2 linked regions of the Coturnix japonica genome follow. The protein of the gene in region 2 binds, or shares a complex with, the protein of the main gene of each other region. Links are inferred from orthologs where the notes say so. Each region holds a gene or a part of one and is shown on either strand. Other genes may lie near its edges. The genes, in order: SMAD1 and SMURF1.

Evidence for each region.
Region 1: the proteins of SMURF1 (region 2) and SMAD1 are in contact, whole or in part, in an NMR structure (PDB 2LB1), measured with the Homo sapiens proteins. The link is inferred for Coturnix japonica from reciprocal best matches to the Homo sapiens genes SMURF1 and SMAD1. Residues at the interface, in NP_065162.1 of Homo sapiens: Glu313, Val314, Arg315, Ser316, Arg321, Tyr323, Val325, Asp326, His327, Arg330, Thr331, Thr332, Gln333, Phe334; in NP_001003688.1 of Homo sapiens: Asp221, Thr222, Pro223, Pro224, Pro225, Ala226, Tyr227, Leu228, Pro229, Pro230, Glu231, Asp232.

What each region holds. Positions count from the first base shown.
Region 1 is NC_029519.1:27,352,687-27,367,266, reverse strand, and holds part of SMAD1 (mothers against decapentaplegic homolog 1), read right to left. Parts: intron 8,191-14,580; 5' UTR 7,966-8,190; coding exon 7,566-7,965; intron 1-7,565. UniProt on the Homo sapiens protein: Transcriptional modulator that plays a role in various cellular processes, including embryonic development, cell differentiation, and tissue homeostasis.
Region 2 is NC_029529.1:4,318,979-4,334,934, forward strand, and holds part of SMURF1 (E3 ubiquitin-protein ligase SMURF1), read right to left. Parts: coding exon 15,945-15,956; intron 15,827-15,944; coding exon 15,761-15,826; intron 14,899-15,760; coding exon 14,823-14,898; intron 14,504-14,822; coding exon 14,250-14,503; intron 13,458-14,249; coding exon 13,373-13,457; intron 11,139-13,372; coding exon 10,992-11,138; intron 10,095-10,991; coding exon 9,890-10,094; intron 9,185-9,889; coding exon 9,081-9,184; intron 8,664-9,080; coding exon 8,549-8,663; intron 8,051-8,548; coding exon 7,872-8,050; intron 7,030-7,871; coding exon 6,892-7,029; intron 6,533-6,891; coding exon 6,412-6,532; intron 4,939-6,411; coding exon 4,737-4,938; intron 3,942-4,736; coding exon 3,857-3,941; intron 3,131-3,856; coding exon 3,031-3,130; 3' UTR 286-3,030; coding exon of another isoform or gene 197-285; 3' UTR 1-196. Other genes in the region: urotensin-2 receptor-like, read left to right, coding at 197-285. UniProt on the Homo sapiens protein: E3 ubiquitin-protein ligase that acts as a negative regulator of BMP signaling pathway. Mediates ubiquitination and degradation of SMAD1 and SMAD5, 2 receptor-regulated SMADs specific for the BMP pathway.

The sequences.
Region 1 (14,580 bases), on a different chromosome or scaffold from region 2:
TCAGTGCTTACCTCTGCTTGCTGTCTCCAGCATTAAGGAGTCACTGAGACTTGCTGACTGACATGTCTTGCCAAGGTCTTGCTTGTAAACAAAAGAACACCAAGCAGAAAGAAAAGTTTTCATGCCATTAGGTTTTCTTGTGTTGCCTCAAACGGCACCTGGCAAAACTGAATTATTTTTTTTGACCAGAGGACAAGTTCTCACATACAAAGATACTTGCATGGCTACACTCATGATCAAGTTTATTCTTGGTTAAAAATAATTACTGTTGTGGCAAATGCAATTCCCCACAGATCTCGCTACTTTATGCTGTTACAATACCTCCTGGCTGCAGCAGACAGTGCTACAGGCTGCAGAGCACAGCTTTGCTGCTCTCTCTGAAGCAGAGCTGCCAGCCTTTGGGGCTGTTGCTCCAAACCTACATTCTAGTAGCTGCAAAGGAAAAGGCTCAACAATAGCTGTCCAGCAGTCTGTGCTGGGTGACAGACAGACAAACAAACATTCCAGACTTTCTATTCCGGGGGAAAGCTGTGAGCTGCCTTGCTTTCTCAACCCTTTGTTTTATTTTGCAGTTTCTGCAGACCCCACAGCTTGATTTGTCATCTTACATAGTTGCAACTGAAGACTGTGTTTAAAAACAGAAGGGAAAAAAGAAAAAAAAGAGAAAAAAAAAAAAAAAAAAGCACAGTTATTGCTTCGCTGACTTTACTTTTACATCAGACATCTGGTCTAAATGCATTTGGCAAGTAACATTAGTACATTTCCTGTATTACAATATCCAGTTAACATTAGATTTTACTTGCGGATGCTCTGATAAGCTAACGTTTTGATTAAACTGACATTTGTCAAGGCCAATTTCAGAATTTAGTACTAATCATATGCACATTAGCGAGGGAGTTCTTGTAAGCTGATTTGAGGGGAGAAGCACTCCTGATACAGGAGCAAGTACAGGAGAAAGTTACAGTGTGATAGCGTGCATTAAGTTAGACATTTACACAGACCAGAGTTCAAATTACCTGGATGAAAACCATAGTTACCATCCTACTGAATAGGTTCAAGTATGGAAGTCAGCTCTTCTAAGCCAGAAGAAACATCTGAATCTCATTAATTAAGAAACAAACCAACATCCTTCTTGACAACTTCTGTCCCTTTACTGCAGCTCTCCTTCCCAAGGCTGGACAAAGGACAAACAGTTTGTGCCATCCCCCACCCTCCTGTCTCCCTGTTTCAGTTCTGGTGGGGAATTCTAATAATTATTATAAATAATAATTCAGCAAAACTGAAATGTGCAAAGTCTCACACTCCCTGCCAAACGAGCTGACAGTTGTTTACTATTTCGGGGAACCATCTTCTAATTGTACCCACCTGTTGTCGCACGCTATTTTTAAAGTTACGCCCAACAGCAGGGTTATGCAGCAATAAGGCAAAACTTCCCAGCGATGCCACCCCCTCCTCACACACCCCTGAGCCTCCAGAGGTACACAAACCGTGCTACGGGAATAAAGGGTGAATTTCTGTAAACTGCTTCTGTAAATTAGTTTAGTAAACTGGATCTCCTTTTTCTGTTTCAAATCAGCTGCTGACCTGTTTCTCTAGTATTTTCCTTTTTCAACCCCTCTCCTCTGTTTTCCTCCTTCCACTGCACTCGCTTCTCCTTCTCCAGTCTCCCCCCCTTACAGTTCCCACACAAGGCTCCTCTCCGTGCTCCCTGCATCCCCCCTTATCCAGCACCACCCTCCAGAAGGCCAGGCAGTGGAGGAGAGCTGCACACAGCTGGTCCCCAGCTCCCCCGAGCCCTGGCCATCAAAGCTTCTCCATCTGGCCGGAAAGCAGCCGGAGGCTCTCCTGCCGCCTCCGGTCCTCCCAGGTGCTGGGGCCATGCAGGCCCTGGGAACCCTGGAAGCCCAGACAAGCTGGCAGTCCCATAGGGAACTGCTGTTCACCCTCCGTTTTCCGCCCTGCTTCCCTGTTTGACCCCAGAGGAATTACAGCCTCTGCCCATTTGATGATGATTGCTGAAACAGCCAGAGCCACAAGCAGCACACTATATTCGAACTCTGCTGCTTATCTGCAGCCTAAGCACTCCTTGTAGTGATCCAACAGGTAACAGCCTGGGTACAGTAGCTCCACACACAGCGATCCTAAGCCGGGTGGGTACCAGGGAACAAGACTGGGTTTAACTAACGGACCCATTTCATGTTTTTATACAGTACCTATATGGAGAAAGAACACACACGAGCAAACATAAGCTAGCACAACTGCATGCATAATCACGCTACACACAACCAAATATCTGTATGATTTCAAATGGCATTCAAAAGCTCCTTTAAACATTTTCTTCTGCTGAGTATCAGAGCAGCAACAGTGTTATGTGGAGCATCTACTTCCAGGGCTGCACAAATCTCAAGCTGCCTTAGCCAGGGTTTCCACCATTTTAAGTTTCCTTCTGCACCTCTGGTGCATGCAATCAGGTGTACAGCCTGACAGACATTCAGAGCAGAGAAGATCAAAAACAAATATGAAAGCAATCAGGTTAAAGTCATAGGCAGGAAGCAAAAACAGCACAACATAGCTACTGCTCTTCTCAGAGCCCAGGAACAGACTTGGCCTGTTCTTGTGCCATAAAGCACCTCTACATTTACATTAAATGCTTCTTGCCACTGCAGGCAAACTTAGTGAGGCAGACATCCACTTTAAATTCATGTTTATACTGGAAAGGAACATGATATTTAGGCAAAATTAAAAATTCAGCCATTCTGACAACACATTCACCCACGTCACAAATAAGCACCCACTGCTCATTCTGCAGTTTAGGCAGAATACAGGTATCCAAGCAGAAGAGTTCATCGGTTGATGAATGCAGCCAGAATTTCTGAAGACATATAAGCTGGTTCTGACAGAGCAGTTTTAGTGCTCCTCTGGACTATGTGGTTCAAGAACAGTGGAGCATTAGTATCATATCATATCATCTCCAGAAATGAATGCCAAAACATAACAACTACATTTTCCAAGCCAGGATTAAGCTTTCTCAGATCTGTGCAAAGCAGGCTGCTTCTAAGCCTGACCCCCAGAGATACCAGGGCATTCTGGACACACGCCACTCTCAGAAGATACCACTCAGTCATATCCTTGTATATACCCTACATAAAATACTCTGCACCACCAACTTCCACACACCGAGCTAAAAGAAAAGTTAACCACTCTCTTGCTTCCTTTGCAACATGTTACAAACTCAAACTCTCTTTAATCTAGAACACTGTTGAGCAGCAGGGGCCAACTAACACAGTTCTGCAGCATATGGCACCCATGGCCAATATCCATCAGTTCTATGGGGATATGAATTTCTTCCTTCCTTTTGTTTAACTAAGCAAAGGAACTGAACCTCCTTCCCTGTTTATTTATTTATTAAAGCAGTGTCAACTTAAGCAACTCTTCATCCTCCCTGTTCCCTGTCCCATCTCTGTTTTGCTATTAGATCAAACTGGATCCAGGCTTCCTATTTTTTCCAAATTCTGAGTCATGTCTTTCACCTGATTCCATTGGAATAACTGAAGACAGAGGCAAGAAACAGAGGGAGTATCTCCATGAAACAAAAGCAACAGATTAAAAGAAGGAAAGAAAGAAGTATCTCAGGAAAGGCTTTGGGATGCCATTTTGTGTGTCCTCCAGCAAAACCAGAGAGGTCATTTGTGGCATTTTCAAGCAGAGTTGAGGAATGACACATTTGCTTTCTCCTCTCCCAGTGCCTACACCCAGACTCAGGTCTCAGTCATACTTACAAGCCCCAGAGCACATAGAAATCTGATCTCCAGGTATCTCTAAGCCAAAAACTAAAACTGAAGGGAAAAAAAAAAAAAAAAGCAGACTCAGCCACACAAGCAGCCCAGTTCAGCTGACTGCACCAGTTTTTAAAAGGCATCAAATTGAAATCCTGCCCTCCTTCATTAAAAGCTTTGCTTTGCCTTGCCAAAGGAAAAGAAATTCACACCTATCAACTACCACCATTTCTGCACCAGAAATAATTCTGCACCCAACAGAGCTACAAAACAGAAAGCTAATGTAACAAGATATTTCATCCTGGCAGTAGAGAATAAGATTGTGTTCCTGTTCTCAGCAACAAAACAGCCTCCACTTGGAACGCTCACTTCACACCACCTCTGCTTCCACCCACAGGCCAGATGTGAGGCCCTGTGGGTGCATGGGTGTTCTCGCATCCCCTGGATGACCCTGATCGGCCCATGAGATAAGGCAGCAGTGGGATGAGAACAAAGCACTGCCAGTCTGCTTCAGCACAAGGCCACTGAGACAACTGCACTGGCACAGCCCACTGTAGGAGCTGCTTGTGAATGGCATCTCCAAACAGCAATTTTCTGTCTGGTTAGTTTTTGTGACCATATGGGTGCTGATGCCTGCACAGAGCCTCAGCACCGGGTTAGGTGTTACCATCATACCACCAAATCACACCCAAGTCTCTTACTGGATACCAGCGGTTGGGGACACCTGGGAGGCTCTGAAACTCCAGGCAGTTCTCTCCTCAGCCTCCCCACAACTCCTTGCAACTGGTTTTTATCCAACCTAGCTAATGGAGAAAAACCTCACTTGAATTCAGGTGTAACACTGTAGTCCGCAGACAGACTAAAGCACACCAACTGCAATGATTTCCAAGCTTGTGTTTTTAAGCTGGATAGCAAGGATGCACCCCTTCTAGCACCGTGAAAACATAAAAGCATTTGTGAGACCAATTTCCCAACTGAAAGCACTACATGATGTTATCTATTTGAGGATTTACCGTTAATCCACTCTTCAGAACTTACACAAACACCAGCCACGTGACAACTAACAGGAAAGTGAACAGAGCACACTGATCCCATCCCAGGCAGCGCCCTACAGAGCAGCTCCTGAGGAGCTGGGTCTGTTTGAGGCAGTTAAGCACTGACCAAGCTGGCAGGCAGAGCCAGGATATCACAATATACTTGTACAGCCTGCACAGTGACCATCACACACTCTCTCGAGCTTCTAGCTTCATTTAGTCAAGTATAATTCCAATCCTCCTGGCTGTGATAACCTTGGAAACACAAGTCTCGATATCTGCTTGGAAACAGTGACTCATGTGTGAATTCCCCCAATCCATTAATCTCAAAGCATAAGCACTTAGGAAGCAATAATGGTGTTTTAATGTCCAGGCAAAAATGGGGAAAAACAGTTAGCCAAGTTTGAGAGCGACTGTCAGGAACTGAAGCTGAGAGTGACACTCTGGGGACAAACAACAGGGAAGGGAAAGGAAGAGATACTGTAACTTATGAAGTGCACATCTCTAGGCCAAATGGCAGCTCAGTTACCACCTGCTCCCAAAAGCCACGTATTCCAAATTTATCTCCATGCAATATCCCTCAAAACAATGATTGATCTACAGCGTTAATTAAGTAGAAAAACCTCCTTCACAAACCCAGCCAGAGACCTCAGTAAAAACTTAAGGCTTTGACCCCACTCTGGCATTGTGGAACTTTGGAAAAGTTCTTAAGATGAGACCCCAACATACACACAACTTTATACCTGCAGCCCCACGACTCATTAGGCAGAAGGCAGCTCCTGCTCAACACTCCCCTCCAGTAAATTTCAGCTGGTCAGAGCAGCACATCGATCTTCCGGTGGATGAAATCCTTTCATCAGCTCTGTCAAGGCCATTCCAGCCCTGATGTAAACAAGCAAACTGCCCAGTTGCTTACTAAGGTGATAACCAGAAGTACTTAGTTTTTCCTGAGGGGCACTGGCTGAGCAGCGGGAAATATTTCATTGCTACCATCTCCAAACTGATTAAGTCACTCTTTGTTTTCTCCCCAGCACAAACTACACAAACTCTGGAAATTTGTATTTTACCCTAAAACAGCAGGAATCCCAAATTCAAAAAATAACATTTTGCTGGTTCCCAACTACAAAATGTAGAAGGTGACTCAGGGCCCAAAACCACTTTCCAACCACTTGGGCTACCTAACAGTACTCAGCACATTTTAGTTAGACATCTTTTGAAAGTTCTATTCTATTTTTACCATGCAGATCTCAGTGAAGTGACAGGACACTTACAAATATAGTCTTAAATATGGCATAAATGATAAGAATTAGAATGTTCTCAGACTTGGTAACTGCTTCCAAGACGAAAGGGAAATGAGCTGTAACACATCACTTGGTGTTACCATGACAGCAAGAGCCCAACTGCTGCTCACTCTGACCGAACTAGATGTGCTTTGGGAATCTTAGTTTTCAGTACTTTGGAACACTGAACATACACACCAGGTGCAGACACATGCAGAAAACTAGTAATACAAACTATTTATTTTATTGTCCCACTTCTGCTCAACACACAACCCTTAACATTTGTTAAAACTCCTCTTTTTTTCTTCCTCCAGTGCAGTGTTTAAGCTTTTTGTTTAAGCATCTGCTGCATAAAAGCCATATTTTATGGATATCACACACACGATTTCCAAACTAATACTAACACACCAAAGGGAAATATTTGCCATCTAGATATACGCTACGTGTTGCAATTCCAAGATAAATGCTATTTCCATTCACAGGAAAATAATCAGGTAACAACGTCATTTCCACTGCAGTTCTTAAGCAATCCATGCCACTCTGCAGAAACAGCTCCGCAGTTTACAAAGTGCCTAACACAGGCAGATTTCCTAAATTTAAACCAGAAAAGCCCTCTCACACCTGCAGTGCATTTTCTGCAGATGTCCCTGTACAACCTCACAAGTAACTAGAGACCAGTGGAGACATGTTTACGCACATTTCATCTTAGTCCCTGGAAATATTCTGAAAACAAACTCACACAAGCAAATCAAGCACAGATTTACTAAAAGCGGGTTGGGCCCTTGAAGAGGAGACAGAGAACAGGCTGCACTTGTTAAAGCGTGGAAGTGGGTAATGGGTAAACACATTCCACTTGCAGAACAACTAAAGGTAAAACATCATGTACAAAATAAACCCCACTATCAAAGCTCCAGGTTGAGAGGGTATATTCCGTGTCTGAAAAAAAAAAATAAAAAGCAACCAAAACCTCAGACTTCAAAGGCCAAAGCTGAAGGCAACCTTAAAGACCGTAGTATCTTCTGAAGGGTGAAGGAAAAGAAGTGATAGAAGTGAAATAATAACAGTAAGATCATATCAGAAAGTTTTTCACCCACTAAACGCAGTTACCCTTCCTGTTAGCTTGCAACATTTCATACATGCTCAAACTGCGCTGTTCAGTAAAAATATAAAAAAATAAAATGAACTGAGGGATAGTGGCCACCAACAAAACCAGGAGGCAAGAGATCCAGCAACTTAAGGCACACACAGACAGTATGCTGCTGCACAGTGACAAAATGCATTTATATATGGCAAGTATTCACCCTGTGAAAGGGAGAACTGCGAATCAATGCTTATATCCAGACAGATTGCAAAGTACAAATCTGACGTGTGCAAACAGCGACTACTGCTTACTTAAGCTGATGAGTCACATGATTAACTGCCACACTTTGCATTGTTTAGATAAGGCGCAAAGGTACAAACAAGGAAGAACCTACCAGGACTTTCTACCCGCTTGTAGTGGTAAGGATTGATGCAGACCTCCTTCTGTTTAGAACCAAAAGGAAACTCGCAGCATTCCAGTGGTTTCAGTTCATGATGGCTTTGCAGGTCTGGCCAGCGCCACACTCTGCAGTAAATTACATGTGGCAGCCCTTTCCGGTGTGAAACCTGAAGCCGGCCATCCAAGGACCGAGGAATTGTGACACAGTTGCTGGGCTGACCAGGACAGCTTAATGCTTTCTCCAGTTCTTCCATAGCACCTTTTTTCTTCTTCAGTTTTTTCACTAGTGCATCAACAGCCTTCTCCGCCCATTTTTCTTCTTCATCCCCCTGCTTCCACCCCAACAGCCTCTTCACTGCCGGGCTGGTGAAGGAAAACAAACTTGTCACGTTCATGGTGACCTCACTTGGTCACACTGGATACCACAGACCAAGCAGGAGAGACTGTCCTGTTCTTCCACCGCAGCCGCACTGCAGATTTTAATCAGTAGTCAAAAGCAGTCTGCCCAAATATTGTGGTGCTTCTGCTATTTCAGTCCTCCCGTCCCAGGACGGCCATGCTGACAGTTCCCCTTGACAGATGTGGCCTTCTCATCTTGCTAAAGCCTTCCGGCTGAGAACCTGCAGGAGAAGAGCGAAAAAGGAAAACAGATTTCACTTTGTCAATTAACCACCAGCAGTCAGAAACATTCCACCCCACAGGGCCAGGGTGACCAAAACCCAACCGATCAACAACAACAAAAAAACCGCCACCACAAAGTGTCAGCAGTCTCAACATCAGACTGAAGGAACAGCCTGACAAGGACCTTTAAATAGCAGAGCATGCTGGTAAAGTCTTTATACTCTTGCTACCAAAACAGTCCTAAATAAATGAGGGGATTGCCCTGAAAAACAGTGGCACTGCATAAACAAAACAGAACAAAATGGTTGAAGGGAGTTAGAGAGAAGCAGGAAGGAAGTGCAAAGGTAGGGAAACTTAGAAGGTAGGACAACTATCCCTCTGCTCAGTTCCCGCCCGCATCCAATACGCGATATAGCCTCAGTGATTTTTGTGCCATGTAGCAAGGGCAACTGCATTTGCCAACTTCAAATAATGTTCCTGCTCACAGCCCAAGTGTAGCCTAAAACAGCCCCCCATTTTTTATCTTTCACCGCTAAGTGAAAAGTACACTCCCCACAGCCTATCAGCTTGGCAACTTCACACAGCAAAACGTCCCAATAAACTCATACAGGATGAAATCAAACCAAAACTTTTGGTTTTGATTTCCAAGTGAAGGTGGAAGCAACATACCTCAACAGCACTGCACTACCCAGATCTCTACAAGCAATACGATTTGAGAATAACTGCATGGGATCTGCGCATATCACAATCTGTGACAAACTGTTCAGCTTCACCTGAGTTAGTCTGAGTGACAAACCAAAAGCAGAACAGGAAACTAGAAAGATCTGTGCCCTCATTCAGCTCCCCACGAGAAAGCAAAGCTCTGTCTTCCTAACCCACTAAAAAGCCCTCACCTAAACAGAATGAAAGGGAAAGACATCACTGACTACATCCTGACCCCTCCCTTCACAGTGCCAGCCTGATGTGCTCAAAGACACATGAAGGAGCAGGAAGGAGGAAGAACTGATAAGAGGGTTTGAGGTAGTACTGTGATCTTCAGGTTGGGAGGTGTGAAACAGCAATGAAGCAATGGGTGAAGGGAGGAGTAGAACTCTGCATGCAGAGAAATCCCCATTACAGGGTCTTCTGCAAGCAGCGGGCTTCACGTTTACTCAGGTTATGAGCAAACAAGAGACTCACCTCTGCCACAAGGAACAAGGAGATAAGGAGCACTAAAACAGAAGCATTCAAATTAAGTATGAAGACAGACAGGAAATGTATCCCAGAGCAGATACCGAGAGGTTGCAGAGGAAGAGGGAAGAGGAAAAGGATAGAAATGTTTTTGTTACCATCAGAAACACCAAAAAACAAAACAAAACAAACAAACAAACAAAAAACACAGAACAACCCACCACAAAAAATCCATACGCTGCCCATACACAGACAGGTTAGAAGGTATCAGAGCAGCCATGAGCCTGAATTGCAAGTTTATAATCAAAAATAATTATGGATCTTGAAATTTTAATTGCTAAGCCACACTTATGCTCCTAACTGTCATAACTGTAATTTCATTGCGTACCTCTACACTTAGAGTACTTCAAGCTGAAAACCATCCACTTGATTCAAATAAGTTGTCACTAAAATAATTATCTAATTGCAAAGGTTCCATTTTATTAGGTCAAATGTATAAACTACATTTATGTGAATAATGATCTTAAACTAAGACAAAGACTGCATCCACCTGCGCTTCATCCTGGTACTTTCCATTCATTTATTCTGAGACTTCTACTTGAAATAATAATGTCAGTGCAATGGGAGAAATGCATAAGCCTGGGGCAAATTTAACAATAGATTTTCTTACCTGAGCATAAGCCATACTGGCAACTGAACTAAAACTCCATTACTGTCACTGACTGCACTCCAGGTATATTTTATCCTTACATACATTCAAAAGTGCTGTACTAAAATGCTGTTTTATTTCAACAATTTTATTATCAGAGACCCAGCACACTTACTTCAAATATGCATACAAGTATTGGAGCTATTCTCAACTCATACATAGCCTGTATCTCATTCAATGTTCTGAATAGCTTTTTTCTACTTTTTGAAAACAAAAAACACCAGTTCCACACACAAAATGTACACTACTGTTATCAAGTAATCAAGTCAAACTTTCTACTTCACATCTATTAGATCTGAAACAACAACAAAAATATTTTAAATATGTGGATGGAAATTCTAGTGAAAAACAAGTCTAAAAAGTCTAGAAGTCTAAATCTCAAACCCAGCTTCAGTCTACATACATAGAACTGTGTCTGTGTTGATTACCATGGCATGACCCACTTCTACCAAGCTGCTTTAAAAATAGATGGGCAAACTGCTTCTTGTGTAGAAAAGAAGTTTTCTGCCTATTGAAACAGTATGTTTTCACTCGGGCCTGAAAATACAGCCTTAGTATGTGCTTGCACTTACGGTCTGATAAGACCAGGAAGACATTCAGATGTAACCCCAAGCAGCCACGCCACAGGAATAGATTTTCTGACATTCTTGGATCACACCCTGTAACATGCACATGTCCCATTCCCATAAGCACATGCTCCAAAATATGTTCAACATCACAACCAAAAGTGTTATCTTAACAGCTGGCACCTCTGGAGCAGCAGCCAGCAGGAAATGCACTGGGAGCAGCACAGCGAGGCCCATTAGACACAGTACTTGAAAATACAGTTGAAGGCAAGGCAGCTTAGCAGCTGTGAGCTGCATCTACAACCTGCTGCTGACCTCCAACCCCAGCACTGCTGCTGAATTTCAGCCTGCCCAGAGAAGATCCAGGCCCTGAATTAGCCAGAAAGAAAAGGGAAAATGAACAAACGAACAGAAATACCCCGGGCTGCTGTATACCACTCGAATGCTAAATTCCAGTAGTGGTGTCAAACTAAAAAAAGGTCGTGTAGGTGGAGATTTTCATTTCCAAGAAGCCAGAAGCATGCCCGTAGCACTGAGCTTTTGCCAGTACATTCTGTTTCCCTTTTTGCCACTTTTGGTTTTTGCAATGCATCATTTCCTGTATTACTTTTGCACAAAGTGGTCTTATCAGCTGGAAGCGCAAAATAAAGATTAAACCGCAAGTCAACAGATGACAGTCTGCATCTGCCTTCCCAAATACACACGTCCTTCTGGGAAAATAGGAGCTGCTCTTCCAACAGCTGAGTGACCACCAGCCCTTGAAGGTTATGTTTACTCACAAGGTACCAGCGCAACAAGCTCAGCCAAACAACAGGACACCCTCCAAAAGGCAGTCTGGAATTGGTTGAAAGGAAATGAAGTTGTTACCCACTTATCAGCCACTCTTTACACATCAAAAACGATGCGCTTTTTATTGCATGTTCTGTCTGCTGATGGATGAGCTGGAATCAACAAACTCTTAATATCAGCACTGCTTTATTCCTCTTCCTCCACTGCCGCTATCTTTTGTGTGATCTTTGGATTGACAAACACACAGACCCACATGCAGCTTGTGAGGGGGCTGGGACAAAAAATGAGTGTTATACACAGAGCTGTTCAGCCAGCCTTGGGTTTAAACTGCCATACTCGGGCAAAACGCCTAAAAGCCAAGCTCTGCTTTCCTATGCTCACAATTACCCTGCCAGCAACACAAAGCAGACAGTAAAATACTCAGCGAGACTGTTCTCAAATTCCCACAGGAGATCCCATAGGAAACTGCCCCACTTTGCATAAATGATTGTTTTTGGTGGGTGGAAAGGGCTGGGACAATGAGGTGATCCTCTGCTGTGCAGGAGGCGAAACAACCCCAAACCCGAGTTTCAGGCAAACAAGCAGCTCTAACTCCTCTACTAACTTCCTTATTTGTATCACAGCCCAGGGATGCAGGCAAAAAGGATCCCATTAAGTATTTTTCATATGTACTCAGAGCAGTTAGACATAAGACTAGGCAAGAACCACAGCAAACAGAATCTACATAACTGTTAATGAAGAAAGCTGTCTAGTTTTCCTACTGCACTTTAAAAACCCAATGTTATTCAATGTATCTTCTCCCAGTGCCCATTAATTATTGACAACATAAACAAATAACAAGAAGAGAGATATTAATTTGCTTCTTTAAAATACTTCTACCTTCCCCAAAAGACAACTTTTCAGCAGTTCTTGCTTCCTTTGAGTACGACATTTATTTTTTAGAAGTTTAAAAGAAAAAAAAAAAAAGATCAGATTTTGGCATAGGAGCCAGAGAGCTGTCACTTCCCCCCTCCGCAAGAGCTATTTCCATGTATTACTGTATAAGACCAACTCCAAAGACTGAGCTAACACCGTGTGAGGTATCAGAATAAACACTGAGCTAACACCGTGTTAGGTATCAGAAGAATAAACACTTAGCATCCTTTAACCAGAGCCAATGGGCCTTGAGGAGGACATTAATCAGGATGCTTTGAGGACGTTGCCAACTTGGCAGTAAAACTCAAGGTCCATGCTGAACTACCTTCATTGTAACAATAAAGTTCACACTCATAGGTCAAGATGACCCCTGCCCTCATGAAGACCCCTCTCCTAAGCAGGCATAGCAGTGGAAGTATAGAGTCAGCAATATCGTATGTAAATTATGGAATAATTATCATTGAGGAGGACTGAAAAAATTACCAATTCTAACTTTTGAGAATACATATAGCACAGACTGTTCAATTTGGTGTGTTCAATATGTGGGAAACCATTGAGCACCCAGGCTCACACAAACCTGAAATAAATAAGCACAGTCTCTCTTGAACGTACAATTACTGACAACGCACAATACTGACAATCACACTGGGTGACAATCTGCTTTTCAGACATTACTAAAAAGAACACAGTCTAAGCATCTGTAACGCCAGAATGTGTTACACCAGGCTGTGCATCAGATTCCTCTGACTCCTTATTCTTGGAGCAAGCAGCAAAAAGTTTTGATTTTCTTCTTCACATGATGTGACTTGTTAAAAGAAGCCTCAAGTCTTCTGCTGATTTACTTTGCTAATCAAAGAATTCTTTCTTTGTACCTTCTTATGGTACAAGATCAGACCTTGTTCGTCTTGGAAAAGTGCACAGAAACCTCACAGAAGCCTCAGTAGCATCACAGTACTCATGCAAAAAGAGAAAGTCATTCCACACTGCTGTAAAACTCATTAGAGAGTTTAAACAGAGACTGATTTGGCTCTCCTTGCATTTCTGAAAAGGAGGAGAATCAGTGCCAGGGGTGGGAAGGTAGAAAAGAAAGAAAAAGTTAATGTTTTTACATGTCTTCTTGATATGGGGGGAAAAAAAATATCTTTAAAATACAAACATTCATTTCTGCCATGAATCACATGAATCAGCATGTGACGCGATATGCATATCAAGTGTTCAAGTAAGAAGTGTGTACTGGTGTTGAAAATACTTCAAAACATTCAACAGGCTTTTTTCCTGGCTTGTAGGAGACACCCAGCGAGGGCTGGGAGGATACATCCAGCTTGTCCTATGAAACAGGCTCTGTCTTGGTTCCTGAAACTAAGGCAAAGCACCATGTCTGAGAAAGAGGATGAAGAAAACTGCTCACCATATTTGAATGAGAGGTTGCCCTTTGAAGAAAGTCACCAACATGTCATTATTCAGCCCTGAGAGGAAATCCCTTTAGGCACCAACCTGCCCCCATAGCACAGCAGACTGTAACAGAAAGTAACACAGAAAGACTCCATAAACTTCATTGTTGCTCCTCCAGAGAAAATGCCTCATTCCTGTATACAGTAAAATCCAAATACTACGTTACAATCCAACTAAACTGGCATAAGAGTCATGGTGAATGAATATGTAATTGTGAGAAATAACACAATGAAGACACAGTGGAGGTGTTTTCCCAGTTTTAACAGAGATGTATCATCAATTAAATATGCTTCTTTTTTATTAGAAACCAACACACAGCTCTTACTAATGCCAGATACTGTTCTTTGTAACAGAAAGATTGAAACAGCACATGTTGCAAATTTCTCTGCACCCTTAATAAAGCAGAATTCCTCCCTGCTACAAGAAATATTAACACCTACAATCTCTGCATCATCAAATGCTCAAACCATGGACTTTTCACCACAGTTAAAGTGGCAAACTCCTAGTATGCACTGATGAACTGTACTCGTCCTAATGTTCAGATGCAAGCGAGTCCCAGTGATGTCACTAACTGCCATTCTTCTAACACCTGCCAGTCCGCCCTCTGCACTGATTCATCATGCCAGGGCTACAGGCAAAAAAACAAAACTAATTCAATTTGTTTCGTAACTGGGAACAGGATAAGCCGAGTGCACAGGAGGGCTCATACAAAAGGAACACACTGAAACATAGACCCAGGTGTGGAAAAACCTCTTCCGGTATTGGCAAGCAGCCGCACTGAATCAGAT
Region 2 (15,956 bases):
CAACATCCATAAAACAGCCTCATTTCTTCCCGATATAAACACGAGCAAAGTGGTGGTTTCCTACATCCCTGAGCATATAGTATAGGCTGATGAGCAGTATCAGGGCAAGCACTGAAGGTCTGTGCCAACGGACCAGCTTTTAGGTTTGCCTTTAGGACAGGAACGAAAGACACATTGTACCTTGTATTTCCTTCAGGTCTGATCCAAGACGCATGTGTGCACAAGGTGGAACGTGGAATGACTGAACGAACACCAGACTTTATGTTATTCTTTGGGCAAGTTTGAGGAGTAACAACCAGTTCAAGTGCTGGCAGACCAAGTAAGAATGAACACACTCAGACAGACTCAGAAATTCAGACAGCTGAGGTTATGAGAACAGCCCACAAAGCCTCATAGAGTCAATGGCTTGAGCCATGCAAACTCTTGTTTGCGTTTCATCCTTCCCTGGCCTTGAAATCAGCCACTGGAAGAAGAAATCATCACTTAAAACCCATACTGCCTCGCTTCTTTATTTCCTCCATCTATCCATCCATTCAGCTTTAAGGCCTGCCTCAAATGCATGTACAGAACAATACAAAAAAAGGGTCTTTATCATCACTGAAGTGGCACAAAATTGCAAAGACGACACAATGGGAGAGGTGGTGAAGCTGTATAAAAGAGAACTAAAATAATTAAAAAGATGGTGCCCTATTCTCATTATTGTCAGCAAGGAGGAGGTACCTTGACAAGGGCTTTTAAATACAGCAAACAACAATCCTTGCCTATTCTTATTTTGTGCATTCAATAAAACACTGACCTAGAAAAGACATTAGGAACTATCATATGTCAACTGTGTCGTTGACATAAAAGCTACTTGACCTATAGACTTCCAAACCAAGGGCCCTTACCTTCACCTCACTTGGTTTTCACTGACCCAGTTATAGAGCTTGTGTGATAGGATTTCTGTTAGTGGTGGGCTTTAGCATCTGTTTTTTCAACTCTTTTAGTGAAAAATTCACATGAGACTACATGCAAAGCTTTTGGGCAATAATCCATTCTGCATTTTTCCTATCTGACTGGTTTATTGCACATTCAAATGTACTGAAAGGATTAAATACACTCTATGAACAGGTACGACTTCACAGCCATTTTGAAAAGCCAGGGCCATGGGGATCCTGCTGCTCAGCCCAAGACTGTACCGACGTTCACCTACAGACAGCTCCATTTCCTTTCTGCAAAACACACACATGATTTCACTTGTGTCCCAATGATCAGAACTGCAGAAACCCGTCCCCAGCTGCACCAAGATTCCTCCAGAACATGGGTGTAAATACACCTCTCTCCTGTACAGTCTCGCTGGCTGAGCACCTTGAGCCACCCTGTGCAAATCTCACACTATGGTACAATTTTACACCTTCAATGCAATCCTCACTCCCAACCACAAACCACGAGAGTTATGGTCAATGGAAACAAACAAAACTGAGAATGATGCCAGAATTTCGACAAGTGTCTACCTTCTGTCCTATCACAGTTTAAAGCTATTATCAAATTCAATTTAAAAAAGACAAAATAGAAGTATTCCAGTAGACATCTTCTAAGAACAACCTCTTACCCACAGCTGAATTTCAATGCACTATTCCATAAACAAAAACATCTGTTAAATGTTTCAGTAATGAATTTCTCTAAAAATCAGGCTTGCCAAAGAAAAAAGTCCTATACAAGCAAGCCTGCTTTACTTAAGTTTAGACATGTTTGACAGATAACTGGGGCTTTCTGAAGCTGTGTTATTTGTTAAAATGCTGTCTCATTTTGGTGTGCAAACTGGAAAAAATGTTAGTGATTCGGGTGTTTGATTTGCTTTTGTTACCCCCGGGAAGTTATCTTAGCAATGTGTTAGAGAACCAACCTTTTAATATTAGTTTCAGGTATACTAAAAAACAGCCTTATATGGCTCTCTGGAGAAATTCTTATCCTTACAGAACTGAAGTCGTAAATCCTTTCAATAGCTTTCCCTAACATTTAAAATGTATTCACTGTATAGTTACCCTTTTACCACAGCCTCCAAATAAACCTTTCACACAGCCAAAAACTTCAGAACAGAAGTTAGCTCTGTTGATGTAGCATTTGGTGATTTCCATTTTGAGTCTTCAAATATGAAGTCGCAAAAACATCTCAGGTAGAACAGTGGCACAGAAATCACAGCTTTGGAACTGAAGTAATTTTGTCCTCCGCCTCCTCCTTGCAAAGCTTTCTCTGTAAGGTAATTATATCTGAGCAAACTACGGAAAGTAATTCTGCAGGAGGAAATAACTGTTTTCATGTGCAAAACAATTAGGTTTCAGCCAGGACAACCAAAAAGAAATCATACAATACCATTTAAGCTGTCCCCAATTCTTTCGCTTCTCTCAAGTTAAGCCACAGCTTCCACTGGGAGCTTCCTGCTAAGGCAGAACTAGAAATACTTTGCCTTTCAGTTAAATGCTCATATGGAGGTAATTTCTGCTAGAAGTTCACTTTTTAATCAGGTTTTTAGAATGTGCAATGCAAATTCTAGCGCCAGTCAGACACACTGCACCCACTGAACCCTACAGGGCTCAAGCTTGATTTTAGACAAACTAACCAGGCACTCCTAACCATCTGCAAGTCCTCGGCAAATCAAGCTCATTCTTAACTACACTGCGATTTTCCTATTAAAAAAAAAACAACAAACCCACAGGTCATCGACCCATCACAATATGTGTTACAAATCTAGCAGAATATCCTGTGTATCCAAGGCCAAATGCTGAACTTGGCTGCATTACATTTTATGGGGATGGAAGAAGAGGGAAGGGCTTATTGTAACAAAGGGGGAAAAAAAAAAAGAGTTGGAAACCACCAACAAAAGCCCCTGCCCCCACCATCATCCACCAACAGTGGAAGGGAAACAAGCCATCTCCAAGTTGTCTAGAGTTCCGGTGCTTCAGACAGCTTAGCAGGAAGTTCACAGCAAGCTTCTTCTAGCTTTTGATTTGGTGGTCCATGAGCTAGCATCTGTTTCCTTTGGTTGCTTTTTCACTCCACAGCAAACCCACATGTCTCTTCCACAGCTGTCAACAGCTTCTCGTAAAGCTTCTCATATGACTCATAAGGCGGAATGTCAATCCGGTTAAAGCTAGAGATAAAATAATAACACATTGCAGATTATGAACCTAACATATATATTGAAATTAAGGGAAAAAACCAACAAAAAAACTAACATACAAACCCTAGATTAGCTACATAAAGATAGAATTTGTAAAATTCATGTCAAAGCCTCAGCTCTTTCAATGGTCAAAGGAGACAACATCAAAGGAGTAACTGTACTTCTGCAGCAGGAATGCCTTACTTGGGCTGGGTCAGGGAGGAAGAGATGCAGGAGACTTGACACCAGGCAGGCCCGCTCCTTGCTCTGCCTGTATGTAATCTGTGCTTCTACTGAAATCATTTCTTTTCCCTGACATTCCATACGAGAGCTCAGTTTTGTATCAAACAGCACTTTTCTTATACTTTACATCTAAAAACTACTCTTTCTAATCCTCAATGAAGATTCATTGCTATGAGTAATTTATCAGTGAATACTTTTGCTGAATATGTGGACATTAACATCTCACTATTCAGAATAATTGATCTCAGGGCAGACAAAAACCACAGGTAGAACAGAAGACATAAGCCAAGCATCAAGCAATAAGAACTTCAGTCAACTATTTTGCTGGCTGCAGAGTACAGGTATTTCCAAGCTAGCAGAACATACTTGGATTCATCTAAGCACCTCACACGGGTTAATCCATAGCCAGGACTAAGATGGCTACTTTAAGACAAAGGGAAAGTACACACTGACAAGTGGAACATTTCATCTTACCAAGTGTGGGCTTTTGGAAGGTTGTCTGTGTTTGCATCTATTAAATGGATGGTAAACAGTCTGGGTCCTGCAGCGCCTGTAGAACCTTACAAACAGACATTCTAGTTAATGCACTTCAACAAAATAGCATTAATGCACACGTATTTTGCTATTTATAAAAAGGCAAGAGAAAATCACAGTTCCAGGTGCAGATACAAGTGTGCTATAGCCTGTCTGCAGATCAGATTTGCAGCTGGTGAAGAGATAATAGAAATGATGGGTCTCTTAATGACAACAAACTTGCAGAGCAGTATTTTGGAACGTGGTTAAACTTCACATAGTTATATTGAAAAGTCTCAAAAGTAAGAAGACTTTTCTTGCAAAACAGAACTATGCATTCCAATTCTGAAGATCAGTTTGCTGTCAGCTAACACAAGCAATGCTATTAGAAGAACCACAAGTCTAGGACACTGCTACCTTTTATGACAACCAAAACTGCAACTTTCAGGAAGTTGTTTCAGTCTAATGGTCTGCTGCCAAGCATCAATGGGGATACACTTCTCATGTAAAAGAACTGCTCAGTCTGCTCTATAATCACGTACATGCTCTTATGCAGTGATACTAACAACATCAGTCCACAGAACTGTAAGAGACTGATAAGCCAGTACTGACAGCAGCCTAAGTGCTACGTGAGGACAGATTGTCCAGCTTGCATGACTTGTTAGCAACAGCTAAAGTGGTCACCAGCAGCCACTGATAAACGTAGAACTGCTCTTAGGATGAAAAGCTTGCAAGTGATCGAGTTATCCAGTATTGATATTGCTGATATTCCAGAAGGGCCCAATAAATTCCACACAGTCTTCCTCCCACTGCATGTTAACTCAGCCTCCACATCAGTCACCTTGTAAAGCCTTGAAACCTTGAAGTGGGACACGCGTTGAACCTGTCACAAACTGCAAAAGCCTTGCCCTTCTTTCTTCATCAAATGTTTCCACCGCTTGCCAGAACCACTTCACAATATTGCTATCTGCCATGCAGTGCTTTAGGCGTGTGTTTGACTTCCAGTCATTCAGGTCTATCTTATCCAGGCCTCCTATGATTAGCTGTTAATGGATTAGAAAATGCTTTAACATTCAAAGTCATTTCAGTTTTGCAGCTATGAAAACATACATTGAATTATTTCACAATGCCCAGCATTCTTTATGCACTCGAGCCACCTTCCTGGTACACAGTAACCCTCCAAAACAGTTTAGAACAGGAAGTAAATCTCCCCAGTTAATCTGCAATGAAACTGAAGCCGAGGATTGCACCAGAACTGGAATTTTCAGAAGAAATCAGATTCAAATGCCCATTCAAGACCTGCTTTTTAAATCTACCCCACCTGAAAAGTACAGTGAATCTTTGTGAGGACACAGCACAGACTTGGATGAAGGCATGCCATCCACTGAGTTGACACAGAAATCATTTTCCTGATCTGGCTTTGTCCTAGAGCTGCTAATAACCCACTACAAGAAAGTGCTGCTCAGTTTATGGTTACAGCCTAATTGGTCTATTGTCCATAACTAACCATTAAATACAAAAACTTAGCAGCTGTTTTTTGATGTTGTTTATGAGAGTGTCTGACAAAGACTAGACAGATTACTTCAATCTCTTTTCCAGATGAAACCAGGTTGCAAAATATTGAAAGAGGAAGTCATTATTGGCCATGAATCTAACCAGCTACCCTGGCAACGACAAACAAATGGCATACAGGAGACATCATCACTCAAAACAAAATGTGTGTCATATTCTAAATTTCCCACAATATTCCATATTGAGAATTCCATTCTAAGAGCTGCCATTTAGCAGCTGTCTTTTTGTGACACCAAGATAGTACCCACTTAGACTAACTTACAGTATTAGGGCTGTTGTAACTATCCTAATTTGGAAAGAATTGAAATATTAATTGGATTTACAATCTGCCTTTTTAAACAACTAACTCATGGAACACAGTAACTTCGTGTGAACAACTGGTCTGCACAAACTACTTCCATTAAACTACTTCTTCCAATGCTCCAAATAGTCCACTGCCTTCTTTAAAATAATAAACAAAAATCAGAAAGAAAAACGGTGCAGAACTCTGTACCTCAGGATTAAATGCAAAGATAAACTAATTCATTTTCTATGTGCTCTCTCACTTATACTTTAGCTGCTGTAAACCATGACTTATGTGTCTATAGAAACAGACGTATTAAAATAGTTATTGAAGAAAACAAGTTCTGGGGCACATAACAGGTTAGGTCTTGCCAGCAGCTCTTCAGGCTTGCAATTCTCCCTCTCTCTGCCCAGACCACCTGCTCTGAGCATTAGTGATTGGTTACACAGCACGGTGTATTCATCTCCCCTGTCTGAGCAGTCCTCTCACTAACACTAACCCAAAGCACATCTAGAATAAAACAAAGTTTTCTGTTTAACAAACGCATAACCTTCTAGTATAGAAACTGTAATAAACTGTATTGTTATTTACTTTCAAATCAGTGCTTGAGTTTAGAATGTACAAATTACAAACTAATATTCCAAGAGGTTAAGATGTATACCTCAAGCTCCTTCTGGTCAAAAGGCTTGAGGAGATGTTGGGGAATGAGTTCATTAAAACCTTTCTGCAGAGCCAAGAACTGTGCTTCTATGCCTCTCATAAATCGCCAGTTCACATACAACCTGGGGGAAGGCAAAAAAGGTCAGAGTGATAAGCTGGATAAGAATGGGCTTTTTTGAGCAAGGCTGGAAAAAGTTCATTTTACAGAGGAATTAGTTTTAAAAGACATTTTATGAAAGAAATGATTATTAATTCCTTTTGCTATCGACAGTTAATTATTATACCATCAACAGACAACACAATGTACAACTTACAACTTCTTCTTCCCAGGCTTTACTACATTACATTGCATGAAAACACGTAATTTATGAATCAGGTATTTCCCTCTGAAATACCCATACCATTAGTTACACCATATAAAAAGAAGCAACGTGTTCACTGCCTTCCTTCCACTACATTTGCAGGATATGTTCTGCAATACCTGACATATTCTTTCTTGTTCTCTTCTGTCACTGGAATGTTCCTGCCGTTCGGTTTGAGTTCGTGCTGTAAAATCCTCCCAAAAGCATTGTGTTCCACACAGAAAGTATGGTCCAGAACCGGGGTGATATCGTTCTCTCTAACAAATGAAAGACAGAAGGTAAACGTTGTATTTTTGATCACTTGCAGTGGCAATGCTGACAGCTTGTTATTTGAACACACAGTGTCAGTATAAACCTGGTAAGCATCCATCTGCATTCCACACCACTAGAGGAATGCTGCCACAACCACTGATTTCCATACGGCTTAATGTCTGCTGAGGAGCCCAGTCAGAGGCGCCATTCTCACCATTACAGTTGTGGTAGTATTTGGGATAATGAATAAATGATTAAACCCTAAACACACACACATATATATACACAACAATAACGCAATCTGCTGTCATCTACTGAGTGCAGCACAGAAGAAATCAATTATTTTCAATAACATACCAATAACTTCAAACTTAAATTTAAAACAGCCTTTATGAAAAAGGAACAATGCGAAGAAATGCTGAAGAATCCCAAAGCTTCACCTAATGATGATGGGTTTGTTTTGTTCTAAACTGTACATGTACAAAGTTCAAATTAATTCAATTTATTTTCTTTTTAATCAATACTGTTGTTTTTTTGTTTGTTTGTTTTTAAATCCATGCTTTCTTAAGGCCAAAGGTTGTACTTCCAAACTCAGGACGGAGTTCTGAGGATTCTGATACTGTGGTATTCTACCACACTCACGCAACTCTTAATTCAGAACCTAATTTACTACAAGGAGGCCTAACACAGTTTACATGAGAACAATTTCCTCACATAGTTTGAGCTTTTTGACACAGAAATTGTTCCTTGGGAATTTTGTCCCCATCTCCCCTGTTACAAGACCCTTCTATTTTCTGTAAAGCATTATCTTCTCCACAGCAAGACAACCAATAAATACAGTACTTACAGAATCCAGACTAAACTTTTGTGTAGTTCTGGGTCAACAGATTCCAGATCAGAGAGCTGAATGGGTTTCCCCAGGAGCTGTTTATAAAAGGGAACCGTGAACCCCCCATTGATATAGTGTCCATGGAACACAGCCAAACCCATTATCCGACCAACAAAATGGAAATAAGACAAATGGTCCTGCAGGGAGAGAGGAGAAAATCAGGCAGCACAAAGACACTCTAACACTGACATCTCGTGGCTATTTAAGTGCAAATCATCTGCAGCCCCTCTGGGCAAAAGGAACCACATTTTTTCCTCATAACATAACCAAGAAGAGAAACATTTAATGATTAAACATATCAAACAAGTCTCTGCACTTTACCTAATAAACTATATACAAGTACTTTAGACCTTGCAAGCAGAATTGCTTCTCCTTTTAGGGTTTATATCAATACAAGTCCTGCAATAATGAGGAAGCAAACACCCAAACTACACAGCAGCTTATTGAGAGGCCTCTCATGCTTTTCCATTTCTGTGCAAACCCTGCTCCTCTGCATTATAACAATACAAGATGTGTTAACACATTTTTACCTCACTTCACTGTCTATGTTCTCATTGTGAAAGAATTAGCTGCAATTATAAACTGCAAGGGACAATCTCTTAAAATACACACATTGCTCAGAAGTCAATACTTACGGGATTGATAGAGGAGTCTGGATTGATTTGCAGCATGTAAATATTATCTGTAGAGTACTGGAAGAGTCCATAGTATGGATTCAACATTTCATGGCACAGTAAATACAACCATTCTCTGCCAAAAAAGAAAGTGTTATTTTAAAAGAATGCAACTTCCACTTAAGTTTTAGATAACACAGTTACTGTGAACCATTAACACGGTTATCAGTTTCTTATTTCAAATTAAATCTTCTACTGCTTTCCACCTGCAGAAGAAAGAAGTACACTTAAAATCTTACTGTATTTTTCAACGTACAGGTTGCTTGGTTGTAGTTTATAAGTAGTGAAGAAATTAACATGAATTAACATAGCTAGTAAGCAATGAGACAATGCCATCTCATTCCTTATCCATTCCCTAAACATGGTCAGGGGCATATTTAAACTAATCAAATCTGTACAAGACTCATTGAAAAGCACACACAAGAACACAAACACATACACAAAACCCCACCAGTTTTACAGCTAAAAACTGTCAGAAAAACTAAAATCTCACCTTGCTACTCCTCCATAATCCAGGCCTTCCTCGCCTCGAAATTTTACCATAAGTCTCTTTTTCAAATCCTTGGGCCTCATCTTCATTATCTGACGGTAGGATTCCTGTACATGTGTAGACATATTTATTGGTTGGGTTGGTAGTTTTTTTTTTTTAAACAGATTAGACATTTTATTTCTTTTCTATAATTAGCTCTACTAAGAAGCAGTAGTACAATAGATTTTTTTTACTCAGCTGCCAAAAAATTCTGTTAAAGGGCTAATCTAAAGCACATTTCAATGACAAGACTAACATTTGTTGGTATAAAGTCCACAAAAAGCTTAATTCCCCTTTGCTACAAAAGTACTTAAAAAGTAATCCGATCTAAGAATAGAAGAATGCCCAGTTAGAGTTACTTTTTACATGCCCACACACACAAGCAGTAATAACAAGCAGATTCCATTCCTTTTCAGTTTTCAACTTTTGTCATTTCTAAATGAAAAAGAACGCTCAAATTTGTCAGCAAAACCCATGTACACTTTACATAACCCAGCTTTCACCATGAAAGGTGAAAGCCTTTTAGCAACTAAAAATTTGTATTGGCAAAAGAACCCCAAACTACTCAGAATTTCTTCTTATAAATGGCCAAGTTAAAACATGAAACTAAATGAATGTTCTTTTTCTTTATTTTAATCAGAGTTCTGATAATCTGTATGATACCACCAGATTCACCACTTCTCCCATTAAACTGACTTGATGTAAGAAAAGACCAGTTTTATTACACTTGAATGAGAGAAGTTGATATTTGTAATAAAGAGTCCATCAAATACCTCAAATATTTCCTCTCTGGACACTTCAATTCGGCAGTGACCTGCCTGCGGCTGCTGAAGGGAAAGCTCATGTCTAAGAACTTTCAGCTTTTGCACCAAGTCTCTTTCATATCTCTGTGCAGGCAACTCCTCGCCCTCTTCCACGGACCCCTCATTTGGAGCTGGCAGAGGCTGCTGGCTGGGCTCTTTTAGCTGGCATTGATGGCTTTGAAAGAAAAGTAAAATATTTATTCTAGAAGCATTACAAAATGACACAGTAGAAAAGAACTACCTCTACGATTACTGGAAGAGAAATGTGTACTTCTCCTACATAGACAAAGCCTCAAACGTTCATCCTCATTGGTCATGCCTTTATGTGGGTTGAGGATCCATTTCATATTTTAAATAAGAGATTCTGCAGTATATTCTTCAAGCACAGACTGGTTGGATCTAAGGCAAATTCTGAACTCAAGCACAATGCACACCATCAGGCTTCTTCCAGGGCCAGTTCTGTAACAGTGCAGCTGCTTTTGCATGATGTAGAGCTTGAATTTATTAAATCCCGCTAAACCTGAGCTGGCTGTGCACTGCACCAGGAGACCAGACTCCACCTGGCTTTATATTCCTGCTGTCTGGAGCTCAAAGGAGCACAAAGCCAGCTCAGATCTACCAAGAGCTAGAATAGAACTAGAACTGCTAAGCCAGAGAGACATGAGCAGAGTGCTGTGGAACTGCCTGGCAGATCCTCTACTCTGCACTGCAACATTTCTAGATCTGCATATTTTCTCCGACACAACTTGGTGCAGTTTGGTCAAACCAACTTAAAAGATCAGCATTATGCAGAAATATGCAAGCCCTCCCTGGGGACTGCAAAGCATAATAAAAACAGTTTTGTAAAGTCTTTGCATGAAGGTTAGACAAAACTAGGGCTGACAACTAATATTCAGACCCTGATTAGACTCGCACAAAAATTCACCTCCTTGCATCTGTTGCCTAATATCATTAAGCAATGGGGTTTTGTTTCAGCATCTCATGACTCCCGGACTGTAATTAAAATTGTACAAAAATAAATGGCTTAAGAATCCAAACTTGAGATAAATTATTTATCATACAAACTTCTTACTTCATGATGTGATGTAGTCGTGGATCTGTGAATTGTGTGGTTCTGTTGTTATGATCTACAAAATATATTCTTCCTGAAACTGTACTTCTAACTTCCCAACCTGGAGGCAGAGGTCCCAGTTCATCGCAATTCACACTGTTAAGGTCTCTAAGGAGAAAAGTAAACAAAGTTAAAGCACTCCTGAAGTGAAGGTGGAACCAATTACATTCAGGGAATGGGGAGGGGGAGTGCATTTGGCTCTTTGTGATTCCAGGCTATGAAAGCCTCAGGAAAGCAGTACACTGTAACTACTTTAATGTTGCCTTTTTAGAATCCTTCATCTAAGCAGTGCAACTTTGTAATCTGTCCTTGAGAGTAACAAAGCCATGCAGCTTAAAAGTAACTTCAACATGCAACATCATCATTTAGGCAGAGCTGCAAAAGGCCAGAGAGATCTTCTTTGTAGCAAAGAGTTTGACAGAAAATAAAAATAAAAAATCCTATTAACACTAATGCGACCCATGTGCAGAAAACCTAAAAATGAAAGGCCTCTAAATCAACCACTGCCTCCAAATACCCAGGAGGGTAAGAAGCCAAGGCAGCCAAACACTAAAATGGCTTCAAAAGAAAAATTCACCTATTTAATTAGCGAGGTTAGAAACTTAAGTATGAGAAATCGCTCACAGAAAGGCTTCTCTGACACGTTCATCCCTTTCATTCTTGATAGCTTTAAGGTGCCATCCTTTGTAGGAGCTGCTAAAGGCAATCACTCACCTTCAGGTAGCACAATAGCGTTTAAATTCAACACGGGATGTATTTACAACTCGAGAATTTAAAACGCTTTAAAGCTGCTCCATATAGTAAAATACCAACAATGGCAAGAAAAAGAAGGAGGGGAACCTGGAGACTGTTGTTTTGACAGGAACGCTGTTAAGGGAGGTGTTCTCTAGACAGTTGAGGCGGGTTTATCTATTATGCAGGGCTGAAGACATCACTCTATAGATTTCATTACCTAAATCTAACAGCCCAACATCAGTATAAGGGTATGAGAGGCTTTAGAAAAGGTAGAACACTTTGTACATCAAAGGCTTCATTACTGTCAAGGGATGGCATAAGCCAGCATGGGGTACACAGGGAGACAGACAAGCCTTTGTTAGGCTCCTTGAAAGAAGATTATAGTTGTAACCATTTGTTTCAATCAGCTGTGCATCTGAAAGTGCTTTAGAGATCTGATTACACCAAGTTTTAACCTACATCTGTGCTAAATGCCAAGGTTACATTTTTGCACTGTAACTCTGTGGCAAAGAAAAGCCATCTCAACCCAAAGACGGGTGACCACTGAATCTGAGACACTGCTGTGACCACCTACATTGCTGGTCCCAAAATCCTGGCTAAAATGTGCAGCAAAAAGAAGCAGCAGCTTTCATTAAGTAAACCAGGATCAGTTGGAGAAGAAACAAGGCTTTGAGCATCCAAGCCTGACTTGACTGACATGAAGAATGAGCATTGTCATTTTTTCTTCCAACAGCATCAGCTAATCTAACATCAGCGCTTTTATCTCTCTCTGAACCTCATTTTTTCATATCCTCCCATATACTGTGGTTATATCTACACTTTTGCCTACACTACTGTATATAATTTTTCTAATATCCTGTACCACACCGGTCTATTACACAATGAACACAGCAGCTGAAGAGTTACAAACGCTGTTCTTTACTACCGAACTGGGTGTGCAGGCAGCCCAGTGAAACAGTCCAGATTCAGAGCTCCTCAAGGAAGACAGACAGACCTTAGTCACAAAGACCTGGATTAACTGCAGGTTAAGTTTTAAAGTGGCTTTACTAAATTAATCATGTGGAGGATTCGAATTTCCTAGCTGCAAATCATTGGTCTGAAGCATAAAAACCCCAGCACTACTTCAAGTTTAAAGACTGGAGGTAATCTCTGCTTCAGTTGTACAAGAATGGGCACTATTATACAGAAATTACCAATTCAATACTCAGGCGGCAGTCACCTTTTTATCTAATTTGTAGTCCAAACTGTTTCTAAAGAAAAAAATTTGATTCAGAAAACCAACTTTATAAAAAACAATAACAAAGTCACAGTGACCTTTTGGAAGGGTTTGCCAAATGGTAATTCCTGAAGGACTACATGTTTTTCTTTGCTTGTTTTACAAGATTCACTGGTAGATAATTCTCCCTTTCAAAGTCATCTTTAATGTACAGTGCAAAGCTAAATGGAGAGAACCAAAATCACCCCTCTGCTCATCTCTCTCACATTAAATTTAGATAGTCTATTTCATAATTATTATTCTTCAAGTTTTCACTGATTTTTGCTCTAAAAGATTCAGCTCACATCTGTACACACACAGAATCCCACCCCATCGCCCTATAAATACATACCTTGGTATCCTAGGGTCATGCCATGTGCTAACTCCAGTTTGCGTGTGCAAAAAATAAACCTGGCCCTGTACCGTTGTTCTTTGTTCTGCGAAAATGGATGGAAGATTACTTTAAGGCACAAACCTAAAAAAAACCAACCTGAATAAACAGTTAGTTTGAAGCCATTGGTGTACATTGTCTTTCTGTCAGAGCTAGGAGAAACTACTTGAGCCATCCCACCCGATCTCTTGCAGCACAGACTGCTTTGCCCTTAAACACAGTGCTCACAAGTTTACTTGACGACACAGTTCAGCAATCCTTTTCAAACTCAGAAATCCAGCGTGTTTCAGTTTGTATTTTTATTTTTAGATCTTGAGACATCTCAAACCCCCCAAACTGGATTTCTTTCCTCCTAGATTTGGCGTGCTCTTTTCCGAGCTTTAAATTCTCCCTAATCTTATCCTTCTTAATCTTCTGTACTACTGGCTTCTTTGCTTTTATATTTTCCTGATCTTTTCTCAAATGTGGGCTCAAACCTACACGATATGCCAAGGGGGAAGGAAAAAATAGCACTACTGCTCTAGTTTAAAGAGCTCTTTACATTCATTCTCCCTAGATACAATGCCAAGATTAGCAGTGAATTTTCTGTAACAGCATCATACCACAAACTCATGTTTAATTTACCATCAACCTCTCAGTGTATCCTGGAGTAGACAACTGCTAATTAGACTCAAACTTGCAGCTGCACTGCTTAGTTCCTTTTCCAAAACACAGACCATTAGATGCTTATAGATACTTCACGTCCTAACAGGTAAACCGCATCGATTTGGTAAATTGGGATAATTTTCCTCTGAAGTCTTTTGAAAACTTAAATCGAATGGCTCTGGAAAATTCTTACCATAGCCTTCAGGTAGGTCAGGAGACTGGTGACCATGAGGTCTGTTCTGAGGTGTCTGGACATGACCTCTGACTTCAGGAGTCCGAAGTCGCTGTGCCTGAAGCCTCTGATCTTGACTGGGGGACTCTACAAAGCGACAATTGCCTCCACCTGCAGCCCCTGTAGTGTCTGTGTAGGGTGCTGGTTCTTCCATAAAACAACTCAGTGGCCTCCCCGGTCCGGAATCTTCATAAACCGTTCTGAAAATGGGGAAACTTCAAGATTTTCCATCACAGAAGTGAATGCAGAAATAACTGCTTTGTTTTTGTTTGCTTTTTTTCCCCTCTCTCTCCATTACTTTAAGTAACTTCCAGCCCAAGGTACATCACTTTCTTACACCAAATTTCCTACCCAAACAGAGGCACTGGTAACAAGAAATATCAAGTCCTAGTCAGTTTAGATGATTTTCTTCTGAGGAAGCATTCAGCTACAGCTTTACTACCTGTTACGCGTTCCCAGAGAAGATAATAGTCGTTATATTCTTTCCACATATGAACTTGTTTTCTAAGTAAGTGTAAAGAAAGGAGTCCTTACCCTTCATTCTCCAAAAGCCCTCTACAGTCTACTACAGAACCTCCGGTGCCTATTCTGTCCCGTGTCTGTAAACTGACTGAAATAAAAACCAAACACAAGTTAATAATTGTTCCCTAAGCAACAACAAAAACCAGACAACCCATATTTACACAGCATAAAGCACTGAGGAACACTAAAACCATACTGCACATATGAGAGCACATCACTCACGCCAGATCCTTCCATAATCCTAACACACCATTGATTTTTTAAAAAGGGTGAAAAGGCATCAGAGGCATCACATCATCAAAGCTGAAGCTGAGCCTATTTCTGTGAATGTCAAAAGGCAGCTCCCACAACTGCATTCCATGAGGATTCGGGAAGGTTATATGGGAGGAAATTGCTCACCACTAGATGTCATCATTACAGTGAGAATTTAGATTTTGCTAGACATATTGATGTACATATATTGAAAGGTTTGGGTGCAGGGCAGGGCAGGGGGAGGCAGAGCAATGTGGTGATATGGGTTAAGTTAGAGTGCAAAACTAGCACTGACAGAAGTGGGAAAAAAACAGACATAGACAAAAATCAAGGATGGTATTAAAACAGCAATTCTTTAAGTAACTCTTATCCAGGTAACATTCTGTTTGCCTGCCATCTTGGTCCAAATGCAATTAGTTTTACAGTAGCATTCACCCTTCCAGAGCTGCAATAGGAACCTTGCCAAATGCACTCCCTCTTTTTAATATTGTTTGCCATTATTAAATAAGAGCAAATCAACTCATTTGTAAGAGTACAACAAAACAATTTGTGTTATGTAACCTAATCCCATTAAAACCTGAAGAAACAACACAGAAAAGGCTCTGAAGCAACAACCATGGATTTCTTTTTCAATACATTATTTGCCCTCATAGTGTATTTATCTAAACAGATAAATATTTAACTAAGAGTATTCTTACCCACTATTTGGCCTCGTACAGCATCAGTATCTGTGGGATTTAGTTTGCATAGATCCAAACGCTGGTCTGCAAACAAGAATTGAAAACATCAACAAAACACCAAGAGGCTAGGAGAGAACACTACTCACTACAAGATACAAGGCAATGAAGGTTCTTGACTGTGCCAGATAGGAGCTGCTCTTACATCCAGTATCTT